4 linked regions of the Daphnia pulex genome follow. The protein of the gene in region 1 binds, or shares a complex with, the protein of each later gene. Links are inferred from orthologs where the notes say so. Each region holds a gene or a part of one and is shown in the gene's direction. Other genes may lie near its edges.

Region 1 (4,692 bases):
TCGATCGGTTTGGCTCACGGCAAAGTGGGCGGGGTCCTTCAATTAATGAATTTATTTTCGATCGCTTTCTTTTATATTGTCCTAAATTGGGAAACATTTAAAATGTAAAAATCGATGGATTGGGATTTTTTTATTGTTCCCCAAATTCTCACGTGAGGCGGATGAAAATGGCGTCGCGAATGGAGCTCCATTAGCTTTTTCTATTGGATAATCATCTAGAACGAGGAGCTGGGGTTTATATAGATGTTACTAATTAGTTCAGAAATGCACAGGATGTCCAGGCAGGATCGCTGGTAGCAGAGAGAGAATACCGAACTTTTGGCCAGCGCGAAATGCGGATTACCAGACACTCACAATCATCCTTTAATAACATAGAGATTACGTGATGGAAAAGAGGAGCTAGAGCAGAGGGACGAACGTGAACGAACGCCGCAAGGATTACAAGTTTAGGGTGGATGATTCCGCCACCACCACAGCAACCCCCTACCATCCGTTCTAATATATAGTCAGCCCAACAGGTGCCCCTCCCTTTATTTTGTGTGTGTGTGTTGAGGGGGTCTATACACACGGTAAATAGACGTACACTAGGTAAAACTTGTTCTGCCAGCTCCTCTTTGAGTGTAAAGTTTTCTCCGCAACCGGAAATGTTGCGCAAAGTGCATTTTTGGGGAGAGGGGGGGTCGGAGTGAAAGTTTATGCGGAAGGGCCTTTTCTTCTATTATAAAAGTATTCCGACTACAATAATCCTTCGTATTTTATTTCATCGTCGTTTGCTCCTTTTCTCTCCCTTAAGTTTTACTTCGACGTCTTTATGCAAGAATAATCCGGCAGTCTTCCTCATCTTCTTGAAAATAACTTGGAACGTAGTTCTCTCTGTCATTAATCATGTACGACGTATTACATTGTGTAATATAGGGAATTCTTCGTTGCCTACTCTAATCAATTAATAATCCTACTTTCTCCTTCATATTTCCTGTACGCCCATCTTTTTGCCCGGCATTTTTGTCTATTCCGCTCTTAATCAATTATTACGTTCCTGAGCCAACACTTATTGATGGCGGGAGTCGGTAGAAAACCTTTTAATTATGAACCATGCAGGCCCCCGTGTTCTTAAATATTCGTATATAATCATTCAGGCTGGCTGGTTGGTTGTGCTGCATCGCTCGCTGCCATCTGTTTTATTCATTTGGCTGGCATTAACCATTCCGATGATTCGCCGAGGTGGTGCCGTGCAGGACTGCCGGATGTTGGAGATTACGAAATCTCTAGCGCCTTGTTCGTGCTCAGACTTGTGTGCGGTTTTGAGCGAAAAAATTATGTTTTAAAAACAACTTCCTGGAAATGAAGAGAAATCCAACAAACGTGGACTAGGGCACTAGGCCACACTCTTTTGCACAATGATTTGTGTAACGTTTTTGGGACTCCAATTAGTATTAATTTATTCGTTTTGATTTTTGTCTGATAGTCTAGGTCAAATCCGGCTGGGAAAAACTGGTACAAAATTGCCAAATGAATATTTTTCGAAAAATGAAATTTTCAACGAAAATCACAACAGCAAGTCTGGCAACGTCGTTACACTTTACTCTAATATCATTTGAAAATGGCGGCCGCCACAGAGATCAGTGACGAAGATGCCGCTGTTTTGCAGTTCCCAAAAGGTAAAAAGAACTATAATTTCCTACCCAGTTTACGGTTTTGAGCTTCCCTGTGTTAGGCTTGATATGTTTTCATAAAGGGATTTACAGTTATTACAGTTAATTGCTGTTAGGCTAGACCTGGCTAAGAACTGCACGTTTCGTGAACGTTTAATTCATTTGCAACGAATTTCTTAGAAATGTCGACTGATGAACCATGTGGAAATGTGTGGCCGGCGACAGATTGTTCCCAGACTCGAGTGTGTTTCATTTGTCAGACCCCTCTGACTGGAGTTTACATCAGGTGCGAGGAGTGTGTCAGAGTGGACTTGTGCCCAACGTGCTTTGCCAAGGGAAAGGAAAGCAATCACCATTTGAACAATCACAGCTACAGGGTCATACGAGATGATTTCTACCTCTTTGACAACTGGACTGCTCGGGAAGAACTCACTTTGCTGGATCAGTTGTCTACGCATGGGCCATCAAATTGGACGGAGGTTGCCAAACGCTCCAAAGCCAGTCCTGAAGAATGTGCAAACCACTATAACAAGTGGTACCTTGAAGACCCAGTGGAACCTCTACCAAGACCGAAAAGTCCAGAGAGACTGTACAGGCCTCAGCCTATCGTCTACAGAACCGGAACTCACGACCCCCCTAGGCCTGTTCCTGGATCAGTTTACCACAGAGACATGGCCGGTTACTGTGCTGCTCGAGGAGATTTCCAAGTGGAAGCCTTCCAGAATGCAGAATTTGACGTGGCGTCGTTACAGGATGAAACGAAACCCGATCCCGACGAAGAAATCGACCAAGAGGCTTTAGAACTCGAACGTGCATTGGCCGTGGCCGTGGTGCAAGTGTACAACGACAAGTTGCGCGAGAGATTTCGAAAGAAACGTATCGTCCAGGAACACGGGTTGATCAATTTTCATCGTCATTTGGCGGCTCGTTATCGCTACGACTCTACGCTGACACATCGCATTTGTGAGCGTCTCTCGGTGTTTTCCCAGGTGTTCAAATTTCAAGACCACTGCAGTCTCTTTGAAGGCTTGCACGGACATGTCGAGTTGCGGCAGCGAATCCAGCAGCTGCAAAGGTACCGCCACTTGGGGATCAAGACTCTGGCGTCGGCCAAAATCTACACGCAGCTTCAGGCTCGTCGTGAGAAGCACATGAAGCAGTGGAAGCAGTTTTCGGCCAACCTTCACGTGGCGTTCCCCGTCCAGCAGCAGCACCAACAGTTGGTGACCTCAGCCCTGCTTCAAGGAAGCAACGGCAACGTTCTAGTCAGCCCGGCTGGCCCTTTCCCACAGCAGCGAAGGAGCGCACCGCCGCTGGACATTGTCGGTCTGCCCGGTTACGACAAATTGAACGAAGGCGAACGTCAGTTGTGCTCCGTTTCACGTCTCGTTCCCGAGTCGTACATGGAATTTCGAAACATTCTCATCGCCGAGTGCCGCAACCGCAAAGGCATTCGGCTGGCTCAGGCCAGGACGTTGATCAAGATTGATGTGAACAAGACGCGCAAGATCTTTGATTTCCTCCTAGAAGAGAAACTAATCTACTTCCCCGCTTGATTTATGGCACCACTTGTTATAATAATGTTTTGTACAGGGGGCAGAGAGACTGAGAGAGAGAGGGGAAGAGGAGATGAGCAATAAACTTGCGTTATACAGTCAAGCCTCATGTCGTTTTAGCGTGTTGAAATCATCTCGAATTACCTGTTATATATATATATATATAGATATATAGATGTGTGGGCTTGTAGTCATGGGAAGCTCATGCAGGTTTGTTTTCTTAGATCAGCAGGAAAAGAAAGAAAAAGAGTCGACAAACGAGTGGGCACTAGTTTAGTAGTTTGCACAGTGAACCATCCCTTAATGCGGTTTCATTCTTCTGTCTCCATTCCACATCATTACAGAGTTCGAGAATGCGGAAACATTGCTGATATCTGAAGTCCACATGTTGCTGGACCATCGTAAATTACAGAATGAAAGCGCAGAGGACGAGCAGGAACTGTCGGAAGTCTTTATGAAGACGCTTAATTACACTCAGCGCTTTAGCAAGTTCAAGAATCGTGAGACTATCGCCGCCATTCGCAGGTTGATGCTCTTGAAAGTTTGATTTGTTTGTTTGTTTTTTCCCGGAATGAATCAATGACTTCATTCCCAACTTTTTCCTTACTTTTGTTTTTTCTTTCTTTCTTCTTGAACTCCAGTTTGCTGATGCAGAAAAAATTGCACAAATTCGAACTGGCAGCTCTGGCTAATTTGTGCCCGGAAAGCCCTGAAGAGGCCAAATCTCTCATTCCCAGGTACATCCAACCGTCACTGATATCTTAATTGATTTTTATAACGAAAGACTTGTTTGATTTCCCGCAGTCTTGAAGGCCGATTTGAAGACGAAGAACTCCGACAGATTCTGGAAGATATTCAAACCAAGCGAAGCTTCCAATATTGAACACGGTCGACCAACCCATGTCAGGCAAATGCACTTGAAATTCCTCATATTTTATTCTTTTTTTTCTCCTTTGGTCACAATACAGATTTTCCTTTTCATCCTTTTTCGTGATTTTCCATCCCAGGGATGGGCGCAGTCGAGAGTGATGCACACACTTGTGCGGCAAAGCGTAGGACGAGAGAGCCTTTAGTTAACGATAGCGAGGCATTTGGGTTGGCCTTCACTTAAAAGCTCTTGATTGAATTTACTGGCGGATGCAGTTGCTGAGGTCCTATATTTTTCTTTGCTCCTTTGCCCTATACTATCTTGTATTCTTCGTGGATCTGGTTATTTATTAGACAGTCGGTTGCTATGCGACCACAGACTCCCAGCTAAATTATTAGGAAAATGTTGTTGGAGCCAAAAGCTGATCGATAATCGTCGTGGCTTATTTGAAAGATAAGAGAGAGAAGAAAAAAGTCTCGTGCACCATAAGATCATATTAAAAACCAGAAAAAAGAAAGAGACGAGGATCCACTTACACGTGGACCGTGTGTACACCAGGGTAATGAGATCGATTTCCACGGCAAAGGATTTTGATGGAAAAAAACTGCATTCGACT
Region 2 (4,451 bases), on another chromosome or scaffold:
GAACGGCCAGGAGCTCTTGTGGGTATGCAACTGCCGAAGAAAGTTGTGTAGTTCCTCGTATTCGCGAGTTTCCAGTGCTGGCTGCAGCAGGTTGCGTTGGAGTTGACGTCGACTGGGGGATTTTTTGGGGCTGGGCACGATCATAAAATGGCTAAGCTTCAGAAGTTGGTTGACCTGGATTGAGGCCATAAATTTCAGTTTTGTCGTCAGTCCGTGAGATATTTTTGGGTATATTGACTAAAGTTGTAGCAACCTACTAATATTGAGCGTTATTACATTACGCGTTTGCTGATTAACGTACGTTTTGTGCTGGTATTCCATCCCCAACTTGAAAATGACGTTGGCTAGTAAAGGAGACTGGGATTAATATTTTGGGACCACTGCTTTCCCACTGATGGTTACTCCACCAGACCAATATGGTAAATCAACGTGAAAGTGGGCCAATATAATGCCAGTGTTGCAGAGAGTAGATTATGTCTGTCTTCTTCTTTCTCAACTTTGACAACAGTATGAAAAGTATGTCTATCAATTTCTACGTCAAGATCCAGACAGGATTTGTTTTGACCTAAAATGTAATAAATCATTAGTGTGTTTTACGACAAAAGCAAGGTGATTTAATTATGTGCTTGTTTTCCAACTGTAACATGGTAGCCACCTGCCTCAAGTTGTATTGCAGCAGACAAAGCACAAAGGGCTTTTCAAATTCGTTCTTGCCCAAATTTTCAAGCAACTATTGGAATTGATGGGGCTGCTCGATTAATATCACTCCTTACGGTCCCCCAGGCAATAGTTTCTTTACCACCGTCAATTTCTCACCGACCACAATCCACATTCCAAGGTCCACGGTGCAACGGGACACCCGTGGGTAACATAAGTTAGACAATCGAGAAATATAAACAAACTTTAGAGTGAACGGACTCATTATTGCGTACTAGTCACTACAATCGAACAATTCCATGATTGAAACTTTGAAAAAATATGCAGATGATGTCATCGTCACCAACTCACCAATCTGCAATGCAGTCTGCAGACTTGCACAGTGCAGACGAACTTCCGTGAGGAATGGGAAGCGACGTTGCCCTTTTACGAAGTTCAGAAAATTACCCGAATTCTTTCTAACTTCTCAGTTGTTGATCTCCGTTAGCAAGCAAAGGGCTTTTGTGATTTTGTTTTCATTTAAAAAATCAAAAAACATATTCAAACTACAAACGACAAATATCCTATTCATTAAGGACTTCAGGTTTAAATTAAAATATCTAGCCTTTTATGCTTACAACAGAGTTATAGATGTATAGCTCTGCCATACACGCTGTCATCTATAGCTCTGCTTACAAACAGCGCAAATAGAATCACACTCGGTCTCTGAATTTCGAATTTAAAAAACAAAGCTAACACGCACAATAACACTGCTTGTCAACAACCTTCAATAGATCGAGTTGCTATAAGCAACACGAATGAAGTTTAGATATTTTACCCGGAATTTTTCTTTTCCTTGCGTGGTGCCGTGGTCGACCTAGGCGTATTCTTGGTTTTGTCAATGACTTTTCCTCTAATTCCTCGCGGACCGACGATGAAGTAGAAATTGTAGTATAAAAATGACAATCATTTCAAGGTTTGCGTGGAAATCACAGGGGGATGACAGCAATTTTACAACCAAAAATGACCTGATTCTGAATTATGCGGGGAAAAAACAATGGTCTTTTTTAGTTTTTGTTTCGTAATGCCTATAATGATAATGAATTTGGATTGCCTAACTAATGGTGCAAGCTGATAATGGTGCAAGCTGATATATTCTATCAGTCGGATACGAAGTACTAGTCGCAGCCACCAGATGGATAAGGTTCTGGACATTCCCAACCTAGTACCTGTATACGATTGGTAGAGGCGCATAAAAAAAGGTTATTTTAGCGATTCATTTTAGTTTCTTATCTAGTGTGTTTGGTGTAGTTTGTTGTATTGCTTTGTTTATGCATTCTTCTGCACGAGAGAAAAGTTAATTATTAGTGAAAACTTTGAAAGAATTTAGGATCATACTCTTACCGTGTGTGCTGTTCTTTTAATTCTACGTATATAATTTTCTGGTATATAATGAGTCATAAATTTGTTTTTCAATATTACGGTTTCCTTCTAGTATTGGCTGACAAAGCCTTTGCTCTTCATAAAGTTTTCTGTTTGTGGACAGTAGGTTTTTTTTCTGATATACAGGCTTTAAAGATGGCAGAAGCTGTGCCAGAAGAAGAATTGACCATTCCGAGAGCTGCTATGAACAAAATGATTAAAGAGATTGTTCCCAGTGTCCGAGTTGCCAATGAAGCTAGAGAATTGATTCTTAACTGTTGTTCTGAGTTCATACACCTTTTGGCTTCAGAGGCTAATGAAATTTGTACTCAGCAACAGAAAAAGACTATTAATGCAGAGCATATACTTGGAGGTAATTGTTACAAATGTTGTAAAGTAATGGAAAGGAAAAATAATCTAACACACATGGTTGTAGCATTAGATAGGCTTGGATTCAATGACTACCGTACTGATGCTGAAGCAGTGTTGAAAGATTGTAAAGCTGTTGCTGCCAAAAGGAGGCGCCAAAGTACAAGGTTGGAAAACTTGGGAATTCCAGAAGAAGAGCTATTGAGACAGTAAGTTTTATCACTTTTTTATGATTTAATTAGTCTAATACATATTTTTTAAAATATAGACAGCAGGAATTATTTGCCAAAGCCAGAGAAGAACAAGCTGCTGCTGAGCAGCAACAGTGGCTACAACTTCAAGCAGAGGCTCAAATGTCCTTGCAGCAACAACAGGGAGATGTTCCATCAAATTCAGAAGATGGAGAATACTCTTAGAAGATTGTTTGTGAAATTTGATTCAATACATACAAAATTTGATTTCTAGAATGAGCTTAATGAAGTGTATTTGAAATATTTCTACTGTTGTCTTAATTATTATTTATCAGTACCATCCTAACATTCTTTACTTTTGTACTTGAAGCATTATTTATACTACTCAGATACCTCATATTTGGAAAGAATTTAACTGCATGACTTATTGCATAATTAACAAGTTATTTTTCATTTTGAATGCTTAACAATTCGACAAGCCGCAAATCGACTTTATATCAGTATAATAAGGTTTGAGAGGATAAATAACATGGACAAACCAAGCCTTTGATCGACATCTAAGTGTTACGAGATTACGAGAAATTCAACTTTATCATAGTGGTATTGGACAAAAGTACGTGTGTCGTGGTGGAAAAAGAAGTTATATATAAATATGAAAAGGCAAAAGTGAAATTCCAAACATTATTTCTTTTTTCGACTAAGCAATCTTGCTTTCTGTAAAATTGCAAAAACATTGTTAGACCATATCTTAAAAGTAGAGCAAATAAACTGGACGACTTACCAAAGTTCCCTCGTCAGTTTTCGATTTAGCATAGCCATAACTTGAACTACTCTGTAATTTTTTCTGTTTCACAGCTTGCTTAGCTTTATCCAAACTGAATCCGCGAAAGAAGAATGAATTGTTGTGTTAATAAAATAAATAAAAAAATTAATAAAATATAAAAAAGGCTTACTTTTCTTTGATAATACGTTGCTGTTCACGATTCCAAATATCTTTAAAATCTGACGCAAACGTAGACCACAAACCAAAGAAATCCTTTGGGTCGAGCTCTGAATTTTTTTTAGGTGTGAATTTGAAATATTTCAAAACGGCTTCAAATCTACAAGAGAAAATAAATGACCAGTAATGACAATTTAATAGTCAAACTTCTTCCTATTATAATTACCTTTGTTTGCATTCTGTCAAATTTTCTTCTTCCTCGGATAGTGACTTTTTTGCTAAAAGAAAAATAGATTTAAAAACACAAGAAAATTGTAAACTCATTTCATGAGATCCAAACCTTGCACAAAAAAAGACTCCATTTTTTCCTTGAATGGCTCCAAATGTATCTCCTCCGATGCCGCTATTACTTGGTTAGCTTTTTGTTCAATACCTGCAAAAAATAACAATAAATTTAATTGCGATTCGAATTAGCTACCTCATAAAAAAAAAGTTGTACCTTCAATTTCTTTATTTAGCTGTCTAAGACTAGCTTCTAGCTCTTCGAATTTTAAGTGTCCAGCTTTATCCAAGTCAGTCGGCTCTGGTAGCGGCATGCGAGCATCATTCGTTCCAGCCTTTTCATCGAATTTCTAATCTCACATACAGTACGATATCCATTATTTCACAATTATTAAAATTTTAACTCATGTAAAACATTACCTGAATGTAAACTTTGACAACGTAGAAAATTAAAGTGAGCGTATTGTCTTTACTTTTTACATCTTTAATTTTTGGAAGAATATCGATAGCAAAACCATCTGCTTGTCCGCGCTGACGATTGCCTCCGTTCATATAATTTCCAAGCGCAAGAATGATACCCAGGACACGAGAAACTTCGACACTCGTCATCA
Region 3 (4,314 bases), on another chromosome or scaffold:
ACCGCGCAGCAGCAGCAGCTGAAAGAGATACTTACATAATAAGTAAGCAGATCGAAATCATAACTCCCGATAACTCCGCGTCGTTATAGATCCCGTCTAGCGTCTACAAACAAGGCATGGCTAAATATATATACGCGTATACAGCACACAACCAATTTCGACCAATTTCGACTTTTCGCTTGGTTTGTATTGCAGACGTAATCACCCGCTCTTATTGCTAATTCCTGCGGGATCCGGATCCCATCCATTCCACTTTTCGAAAATAAAACATGAAAGCGAAAAACATGCGGGGGAAATAAACTAACAAGGCGCGAAGCAATTGATTATCTTATTCGTCGCCAAGTGCTCACAGACAGTTCACACGGCCGATCTCTAACAAAATGTGTTAACGGGAAAGCGCATGTCAAACTTTTTGACAAGAAAGTCTGTCACGCGTGTCAAGGATGAGAAATTAAAAAACAAAAAACAAAACTCCCGTGTTAAATCCTGATGGGATGATTGCTGGTGTACGCCCACGCGGATAAAAATATACAGGATAAAAAATGATGCGATTGATGTCTTTGAAAAATTTTGAGATCGGAAAAATTATATATGAAATTAACGATGATTAAAGACAGTTTGATTACCTAGTCTATTTAAAAAAAAAGATGAACCATTATTTTAGTAGAGATTTGTTTCTTAAATTGTTGTTATTTATTTATAGAGAAACTTGGGAGTAAGCAAAACTTGTTCATTTATCCGTCTCATTCAAAAGAGCGTCAGACTTATTTCTTCAACTTTTTGTTTTTCCATCCACGTCTGATTTACAGTTTCCGATGTGGGCGGATGTAGGTCTGAAGGGGCCAATGGTAGACAGCGACACAGCGTATATCAGTTTTGTATCCGTTGCCTGGAGTCGGAGTGGATGAGTAGTATCCCGGGGCATATCCTGCCTTTTCTCTGATTCCCGACTCTCACACTTTGTGTAGGATTTGAAAATATATCTTTGGATCAAACTTGTCTTGAATTCCATGACCTGATTTGTAGGCGACTGGGGATGGTAGGAGGTTTCCGAGAAACGAATTTTATAAGTGAAAGTTAGAGTCGCAAATCAATAATCTAACTTCTCGTAATTTCGGCGTTTGGCAATCTATTATTCCCTATAGGCTATATACGGGTGTATAGCAAGCGATTATCCATTCAAAAGTTTTCAGGTACACACAACAGTCATTCCCTTGTAAGATTAGCATCGATGGAAATCTAACTTTTGGCTGCTAAAGGAAGTTTGGGTCCCTTTGACTCGGAGATGTAGAGTGGCTTGGCGAAAAGGAGGAAAGTTTGTTATCCTATTACACATGCCGCTCTTGACACTATCTAACGACAAGTCTAACGATCTTTTGCCGTCTTTTGCGTACGTCATATTTGGTGATCTCCATCCATTCCGTCAAAATCGTTATTGAATCTAATAAGAACAGAAGTGATCACGATTGTTAAAATTTTCATGTCGATTTGTTTTAACATCCAAGTGTTGTTCAAGATACAATAAATAATACTAGTAAAACAAAATCGGTTCAAGTTAGAATAACCAATCTAAGCTGCTGAAGCAACAATGTACTGTAAATACTAAATATTGGTGTAATAAAATTGATATTTCACTAGTTTGATATTTAACCTATATCTTGTCTGTTCATATATTAAGATCTGCTTATCTTCTTCGTGCTACATAAAAAAAATTATTATTTATCTTTATCATACGCCTCTTTATTATGCGACTCGCGACTGCTGGTCTAACGGGGGCGAAAAACTTATTTGTGCAAACGGTTAGAATATTACTCACAGATGGCGATGTGGTCTTGGCACTTCTTATTTTCCCGCCCTTTATTGTAGCAGAAGCAACATCGAAATCATCAACTGTGACTGTGTATTTGTTTCAGCAAAAATCTGAAGTTTTCAAGTGTCGGAGTGTTGGTTTCGGTATAATCGGAAATAAATTATTGTAGGAGAAGTTTTGACAGGTAGGATGTTTTCTTTTTCCTATGAAAATCTTGTAACAAGTGTAGTTAATTTTTTAAAAAGTTTCTAGAAATCTCTTGGAAATGACTAAATGGTGTTATTATTTGAAATAATAAGTGACATTTTCTCTCTTTATTGATTTGAATAGAATTCATATGATGAAATATATGTTTTGTTCAACTAATGTATCTAGCTGATGACAGGAATTTTGTTTTGATTTTCCCAGGTACGTAAGCAATGGCAGAACGACCTGAAGACTTAAACCTTCCCAACTCAATAGTAGCAAGAATCATAAAAGAATCCTTGCCAGAAGGTGTTAATGTGTCTAAAGAGGCTAGAACCGCCATTGCTAAAGCTGCTTCTGTATTTGTTCTCTATTGCACATCATGCTCTAACAATCTGGCTATGAAAGCTAACAGAAAGGTGAATCACAGAATCAGAAAATTTTGTTCCATTCTCTCAATTATTTACTAAAATTTTTTTGTTAAATAAAGATCATCAGTGGCCCGGATGTCCTGGGAGCAATGGCTGACATGGAATTTGAAAGATTTATTGAACCACTACAGGCTTCTCTTGAAGGTAATTTCTCTTTTTCAAAACAATTTTTAGAATGTCAACATGTTCTTTTCTTTTACAGTGTACAAGAAAGCACAGAAGGAACGCAAAGAAGCTATGGCTAAACGGAAACAGGAAAAATCCGACAAAAAACCGGAAGATATTGAAGAAGGATCAGATGAAGGTGGAGAAAATGATAATGGAAATGATAATGAAAATGACAATGAAAATGATAATGAAAATGAAAAGGAGAATGAGGATGAAGAAGTGGATGAATGATCTTAAATGACAAAAAAATGTGTGATAAAATTTGTATTCGCACGACAAAAAAATTAATAAAAGAAAAAAAAACACGACCTCAAATAGTTTGTATACTGTGAAAATTAAAGTGTGATTTACGTCTCGAAACGACAGTAGCAACAGACAAGATAAAAATGAAGAAAACATTTTTTTTAGGATGCCAAAGGCACAAAGATATGACCGATGAAAAGCTAAAAAGCAAATAAATAACATTATGAGTGAACCTGCAGTCGTTTAACGATGGTTGCCCGGCACATTGGGCATTGATTTAGCTTGTTGCCACATCCAGAACAACAACATAAGTGTCCACAAGAAAGGAATATAACTTGGCACTGTTTAATATAAATGCAATTAGAATGAATTCGTTTTGAAAAATTGAACTGTAATAAATGTAAGCTTACTGAACTGTCCAAGCATATGACGCAATTAGTTTCCATAAAAACTTCCATCGGAGGAGCGGATGCCACCTCCTCATCATCGAGTACAGAGGAAGGCGCACTTGGAAGATACTGTTGTGCATGTTGAATATTATCAGGCATGTTATCGATTAGACGCTGATACTGGACAAGCCAATAGTCGGCCGCTTGGTTCTGTCGCTGGACTTCCATTTCTTCCAAGAGGTGTTTTAGATCTTTACGACGCAGCTGCTGTTGCTCTATTAACTGGGAAAGCAAGTCAGCCAGTTGTATACGATTTTCCGAGAGCAAGTTCTAGGATCGATAAGAAAAAAAAAAGGAATTAATAAATGACCAAATTAAAGTCATACGTATTTCAGACTTTGCACTCACGTTAGTAATATCGATTTGCCTGCTTTTGCGCTGTAATTCCCAAGCGGTAAGCTGATTAAGTTTATCTACTACGGCTCGAATATCTTCGCTAAGCTGGGTGGTCCGCCGATCACGCTGGGATAACAATGACGAAAACGCTTGGTACTGCCAAGATTCTTCTTCTAATAACGACATGACTAGAGCAGCTTGGTCTTTTTGCCGATGCTGCAAAATTTGGTCAATCTGACGATTTTTTACTTCATCCCTAAAAATTAACCATAAAAATCTTTTAATACCAACAAAATTGTGTTCGATAATAATGCTTAGGCTTACTCCATTTGCACCACATTGAATAGGGTTTTATTCAACATTGTTTTCTGACTGGATATGTCTTGTTCAAGCTGGGTTTTCATAGCATCTGTTCAAGAAGTGACCGGATTTTTACAAGTTATAACATTTCAACTTGTGATAATGATTTACTCAAAATATCTTCTTTTCTAAGATTCTTGAATTCTTCTAACTTGAGGGCCAGTAGGCAATGACATTGATTTTCTTCTGCTTTTACTAGATCCTGAAGTTGTATCTGATCTCTGTGGGCCTGGATATTTTTTAATACATAAACAATACTGGCTTCCATTTCAGCTTCAGTTTTATAAAGCTGTTCTGAAAACTTTTGCCTTGATGCTTCCTGTTGCTGATG
Region 4 (5,720 bases), on another chromosome or scaffold:
ACGTTGTGGAGAAGGCTGTTCCAGTGGCGGATCAGGAGGAGGAGTAGGAGGTTCTGGAGGGGTGCAGTGTGCCGATGTAGAAATTAGCTTGGAAAATCTTCGCTCCAATTTGGTGCCAACCACGACAGCAACAGGAAGCTTGAATGGTAATACTGCAACGGCATCTGTTGGAAGAGGGTATCCGGCATTCACATGTAGCTTCACGGGATCAACTAGCAGCGCACTCGGACCAATGGGCTTAGGAACCTACGCCGCGTTAAATGCTTCTAATGCCGGAATGAATTCGTTTGCGTTCAACACGGCAAGAGGATCGAGTCCACGTAGTTCATTGGGCACCCAAAGAGGTAGCATTGCCTCGACGATGAGCGGGACATTGAGAAAACCGTCCGGCTCCACTCTCATAAGCCTAGCAGGAATGCTGGCCGAAAGGGATTCAGTCACAGCCGCTGCCGCCGCCGCGACGACCACTTCGACGCCCATGGGAAGTGGGACGTTAAATGGAAGTGCTCCATCCGTCCGTGAAAGACGTCCCAGTCGTGGTTCCGAGTCTCAGGAACGTGATGTTCGTTTACGTCGTACAGCACCAGAATCTAGTAGTAGCGCTACAGCTCGACAGAGAAATTCTTCCGGTAGAGGTGGCGAAGAAGAAAGACGTGGTGCAAGAGAAAGGAGTCGCAGACGAGATCGTTCTAGACGCGACCGTTTCGACAGACTTGAAACTGTCGACACTGACCGACCTCTGTACGAAACGGAGCCGTTTATGGACAACAGGATTTCTGTCGACCAACGAGTCAAGGTACTTTTTAAAGCTCTTCTAAATTGTATATTTGTAAATTAATTTACTTATTTTTTCTCTACTCAGATTGTCGATCCCAATCAAGTCTACGATACCATTAATCTGGGCCGACGAATTGATGTTCTCTGGCCAAGTCCAACAATTCGTAACCAAGGTGGAAAATCTTATTGGAAATCATGGCTTCCCGAAGTGGGTATGGAAGGACAGGTAAGAAAACTATACGCGATGGGTGAATAGTTTTCCTTTTACTGTACTTTGTGTTTGATTAGGTGGTACATCGTTGGGTGCCTAATCATCCAGATTCGCGACAAAGATCGCACGTGGATCGCGTCATCCTTCTCTTGAAAATAGACGATAAATACGTCCCAATCGCCGAATCGGCGGTCGAAATTGCATCATTGGTTAGTGTCAACATCGGGGATTCTATCGTCGTTAATGATACTAAGCTTAAAACCCAGGGAGTTGCTGATTGAAATTCCCAAACGCCGCAGTGTTTTTTTTTCGAGTCCATTAGGCTCATCGTTGTAATATGAAACGGTATTTTGGTTTGAATGTGAACCCCGAAATTTGTTCACGAACCTTGTTTTGTAAATAATGTTTGTGTTATGCGGAAATGCTATGTGTTATTTGACATTGACTAGGAAAAACCACTGTGATTTGAAAACATTGTCAATAACGTTTACCGAGTTTTTCAAATGTCGAATGAAATTTGAAATTGAGTAATTCGAAACAAATAAACTTTTGGATTGTTTGTAGTCTAGGAACTATATATTTAGATTTTTCCTTATTCAACTACCGCACCCGCCTCATAGTTACTGTTAATTATTAAAATCACGAAAATTCCCGTGTTAGTAGTGACACAAGGAGTGATGGTGAGAAAGTAAACACTTAACAGTCGCATAGAGGAGTGACTCCAGTAGCATAAGAATGCGCCTGTCATTTTATTTGGTGTCTGATAGAAAAACTTGTCGGATTTTTAAATAACAATAGCAGGGGTATGGAGAGAAAGATATCTCCATAAATCTCTCCATACCCCTGACAATAGTATGCCGGTATGCACATAGTTTGAAATTTGAATATTATGAAATTGTTGATTATGAAAGAATCGGTGAACGAATACGATCGCTCTGATACGATATAGATGTTATACCCTTGAAAAAGTAGTAGTCTAGAAAAAAATCGTGCGCAGTTTACGCCGATGCGCACCACAGCGGCAGATAGCAGAACTAAACTTTTTTTTACGCTTGACTACCTGTCTACTTCAAGTCCTTTGTTCGACAAGCAGTCGGTTCTCGTCTCGTTTCTTGAAGTAGACAGGTAGTCAAGCGTAATAAAAAGTTTAGTTCTGCTATCTGCCGCTGTGGTGCGCATCGGCGTAAACTGCGCACGATTTTTTGCTAGACCACTACTTTTTCAAGGGTATAACATCTATACACAATACACATAAAGTTGCATAGAATATTTGCATCGTTGTTGGCTTCTTGCAGATAAGGGGGCATAAAATTAATGTATATATTTTGCGCGCAAGAAAAACTCCGCGCATATTACAATTTTTGAATTTTTAAAAAATACGCTTTAGTCTCTTTATGTCATTGCCACTTCCCACTTGCCAGTGCCAGCAGACGACCAGTGACCAGACGCTTTTCTGATTGCCGAGCCTCTGTCACAGTTTTACAGACACATAGTCAACGCATAAGAAGAGCGTATTGCTAATCAAGATTACTACTCAAAGTTAAATTTACTTTTGCGGTGACAACTAATTAACATATATTTTTTTATTGATTGTTACATGTCAACAAATCTGGTTAAAATTATAGTCAGGGATGCTGTAGTCTTGACCTTGATCAATGGATGAAGTAGTTATTCGGATTCTGTTCTTTGCAAAGGCCAGAGAGTTAGTTGGAAAAGATTTTGACAATATTTCACTTTCCAGAACAACTTCAAGAATCACTGGGGCAAATCTTTTGTGCATCATTACAGAACAATTTCCAGCTCTAGAATCCATATCAAAGAACATTGTCCTAGCTGCTGATGAAGAATATGTTGAATTTGATCAGCTTATAGACATTAAAAATTGCAAGGAAATTGCAGTGATCCCACCATTAAGTGGTGGCTAGGTCGCTAGGATTCTTCATAAGCAGTGTGCTACAGCTTAATTCGCCAGAGCCCTTCAATTGTATTTTAAAATGGATATTATTAACTTAGTTGAAGAACAGCTTGATGTGAATTCAATCTACTCTAAAGTGGTTGAACATTCTACTGGAGCTGTGTCATTATTTGTGGGAACAACAAGGAATAATTTTGAAGGAAAGAAAGTAATGTCAATTTGAATAATCTAAAGTCAAATATTTCTAAATCAAATTTGCTTTATATTTAAGGTGATTAGTCTAGAGTATGAAGCTTTCAAGCCAATGGCATGTAAAGAAATCAAGAAAATTTGTGAGAATATTAGAGAAAAATGGAAGGTTAAACACATTGCATTCCACCATAGGTATAATTTTTTTTTTTACCATACTGTAGTTATAATGAGGAAACTTAAGAAACATTTTTTTGTTTGTTTGTTTGTTTTAATTACCTATTTTTCTTTCCAGATTGGGAGAAGTTCCGGTTGGTGAAGCAAGTGTTGTAATAGCTGTTTCATCCGAGCATCGAGCCGAATCTTTAGAGGCTGTTCAATTTGGGATTGACGCGCTTAAGAAGTCTGTACCAATTTGGAAGAAAGAACTTTATAGTGATGGTGCTCCTGAATGGAAAGCCAACAAAGAATGCCTGTGGACAAGTAAAAATTAAACAAATAATGCTTAGTTGTTCCTATTTGTTGTATGAATTTTGAATTCATAACAGTACTGATTCTTAACAAGTAACACAAATATTGAACCTTAATCGATTTTCCGATATCAGAACAATATTTGAAATGGTTTCCAGTACTTTTCATTAGTTAAAAATCGGAGCATGAACGTTAGTTTGGCTGTAGTTTCAATCTTACTAAAGTGATAATATCTACGTAGTGCTGTCAAGTCTGACATTTAAAATATAAGGTTTTTAAGGGTTTTTAATTCTCTTTTTATTTTTTAACTAAGCAATGTTAACATTCATTTTACTTATTATCCAAGTACTTTCCAGTTCCCAACGCTTTCCAATCTTTGCCCTTTCATTATATAATAACATATACTGTGTGATTCTAAAGATGAGTAGCTGCAATGCTGCATTCTACGCACTGCTTCAATCTATTAGACGTTTTCGTGTGGTTCGACAGCTTTGCTGCCTATAAGCTTTAAGCTAATTATCTGACGGAATAGGGACAACCACACATAGACGTCCTTTATTTAGTATTTAGTTGTGACTTCTGCATTTGTTCCCTTCACTGCCGCGTACGTCATTTGATTATTTGGCTTATAGAAGTATGGCTTAAAGAAAGCACAAGCGTTCAGAAGTTTTTATTAGTCAAAATTAAAAAAAATAAGTACGAAAATATTCTAATCTTGTTAGGTGGGGAAATTCGGGATTTGAAATTTTTTATTTCCATGAGAATGAGTTGTTGGAATATTTGCTTGATGTGATAGATGCTTAATAGTCAATAGCATGTTTTGAATTGATATAGATCAAGAAGAAGACGCTAGTCTATCTAAAAAGAGGAAAATAATGGTGGACTATGCAGCTGCCGATTGCGTTCAGATCAAGGCTTCAAATTTAGAGGTATTGTTGATCCGTTTTACTTTTATCAAGTCTTTTCTCAATAAATATTTTAAATGTTTTTAATTTTTCAGTTGGGAAAACGAATTACTGCGTTTATGGAACGGAAACGATCAGAGTCGGACGTATTCAACGTTCAGGAGTTCTGTCACAGACTACCATTAAACGAATTAGAGAATTCATGTGCTCGCACAGAGGCAGTGCTTGTAAGCAGAAAAGATAGTAAAAGTCATCTAAAGGGTAAAATTATTTTATTTTAAGGATTCAACGCTGATTACTGATTTCTTTACGTTTTAGTGTCGAGATGCGTAAATATGTGGGGACCACAAACACACTCTGAAGTTCCGGCTCCATCTTCAGTAAACACCAAATTGAATCCGACTCCTGCTATCCAAGAACGGCTACAAAATATGGAAAAACACTTGGGTTTTAATTCAAGAGAACAACCTATTCCACTGGATGTGTACGGACGCTTGAAAGCCCTTGAAGATAGAATCCTTCATTTGGAAAGCATTAGTCCTGAATATTTCGACGGACCGTTTAATCTTCAGAATAATAAAGAAGATGAAGATTTGATATCAAAAATTGAACAAAAAATGGATGAATTACGTAGAAAATTAGTATAGTACCACTTTCTTTTTTCTGGTTGTAATCTGATCAATAAAATATAATGCATCCTTCAAATTGGTAATTGCCTTATTAGTTATTAGTTATTATTGCTTATTGTAGTCTGGGAGCCGAGGGACAGAGGCGGGGCAGTAGACTTCTTGGCTACTGGCAAAAGGTTTAGGGGGAAATACTGTCATAAAGTTGATCGGGTATTATTGATATAAATTTCTACGTCCATTTGTGAAAGTCGCAATCGTCTAGCTAACATATTTTTGGAGATATTAACGGAAAACTTTCAGGGGGTAGCCGAATTTTTGATTTTTTTTTTTTCGATTTTTGACCGTTTCATCCTGGCGGATTGGCATGTCCGGCTGGTGATATTTCGATGTGGATACAAAATATGGTATATAAATGACTATATCTATACGTTGGGTAGAGCCAATAATAAGAAGAGGCCCGGAGTTGGATCTCTTCCCAGGCAATGATGACAAAAGCAAACAACAACAAACCAAATCATCCGATTGACTTTTCCGCAAGCTCCGATGCGGATGGAGTGAGGAGGAGGAGGAGGGTAGAAAATAAAGAATAAAAAGACGTAGGCTACTATACATTTATGTATGTA

What was found.
Region 2: transcriptional adapter 2-alpha-like (region 1) and protein Dr1-like share a complex: the UniProt entries of both Drosophila melanogaster proteins name them as parts of the ada2a-containing (ATAC) complex. The link is inferred for Daphnia pulex from reciprocal best matches to the Drosophila melanogaster genes Ada2a and NC2beta.
Region 3: transcriptional adapter 2-alpha-like (region 1) and DNA polymerase epsilon subunit 3-like share a complex: the UniProt entries of both Drosophila melanogaster proteins name them as parts of the ada2a-containing (ATAC) complex. The link is inferred for Daphnia pulex from reciprocal best matches to the Drosophila melanogaster genes Ada2a and Chrac-14.
Region 4: transcriptional adapter 2-alpha-like (region 1) and molybdopterin synthase catalytic subunit-like share a complex: the UniProt entries of both Drosophila melanogaster proteins name them as parts of the ada2a-containing (ATAC) complex. The link is inferred for Daphnia pulex from reciprocal best matches to the Drosophila melanogaster genes Ada2a and Mocs2B.

What each region holds. Positions count from the first base shown.
Region 1 is NC_060028.1:9,041,281-9,045,972, reverse strand, and holds the end of transcriptional adapter 2-alpha-like, read left to right. Parts: intron 1-1,465; exon of another isoform or gene 1,466-1,470; 5' UTR 1,471-1,600; coding exon 1,601-1,658; intron 1,659-1,832; coding exon 1,833-3,208; 3' UTR 3,209-3,311; downstream 3,312-4,692. UniProt on the Drosophila melanogaster protein: Component of the histone acetyltransferase (HAT) complex ATAC; predominantly involved in acetylation of histone H4, including at Lys-6 (H4K5ac) and Lys-13 (H4K12ac).
Region 2 is NC_060021.1:11,078,384-11,082,834, reverse strand, and holds protein Dr1-like, read left to right. Parts: upstream 1-1,922; 5' UTR 1,923-2,081; intron 2,082-2,164; exon of another isoform or gene 2,165-2,205; 5' UTR 2,206-2,214; coding exon 2,215-2,431; exon of another isoform or gene 2,432-2,494; coding exon 2,495-2,636; exon of another isoform or gene 2,637-2,695; coding exon 2,696-2,843; 3' UTR 2,844-2,894; downstream 2,895-4,451. Other genes in the region: uncharacterized protein LOC124194693, read right to left, coding at 3,300-3,332, 3,400-3,493, 3,572-3,718, 3,785-3,836, 3,899-3,991, 4,058-4,190, 4,261-4,451. UniProt on the Drosophila melanogaster protein: Bifunctional basic transcription factor. Activates transcription of DPE (Downstream Promoter Element) containing promoters while repressing transcription of promoters which contain TATA elements.
Region 3 is NC_060025.1:6,578,852-6,583,165, reverse strand, and holds DNA polymerase epsilon subunit 3-like, read left to right. Parts: upstream 1-1,846; 5' UTR 1,847-1,994; intron 1,995-2,195; exon of another isoform or gene 2,196-2,218; 5' UTR 2,219-2,229; coding exon 2,230-2,415; intron 2,416-2,486; coding exon 2,487-2,571; intron 2,572-2,629; coding exon 2,630-2,826; 3' UTR 2,827-2,903; downstream 2,904-4,314. Other genes in the region: E3 ubiquitin-protein ligase LRSAM1-like, read right to left, coding at 3,060-3,179, 3,249-3,557, 3,636-3,879, 3,948-4,032, 4,095-4,314. UniProt on the Drosophila melanogaster protein: Accessory component of the DNA polymerase epsilon complex. Participates in DNA repair and in chromosomal DNA replication. Histone-like protein which promotes nucleosome sliding of ATP-dependent nucleosome remodeling complexes.
Region 4 is NC_060026.1:10,880,898-10,886,617, reverse strand, and holds molybdopterin synthase catalytic subunit-like, read left to right. Parts: upstream 1-2,256; 5' UTR 2,257-2,982; coding exon 2,983-3,111; intron 3,112-3,174; coding exon 3,175-3,287; intron 3,288-3,387; coding exon 3,388-3,575; intron 3,576-4,397; coding exon 4,398-4,492; intron 4,493-4,563; coding exon 4,564-4,729; intron 4,730-4,786; coding exon 4,787-5,115; 3' UTR 5,116-5,180; downstream 5,181-5,720. Other genes in the region: pecanex-like protein 1, read left to right, coding at 1-796, 863-1,003, 1,066-1,269. UniProt on the Drosophila melanogaster protein: Catalytic subunit of the molybdopterin synthase complex, a complex that catalyzes the conversion of precursor Z into molybdopterin.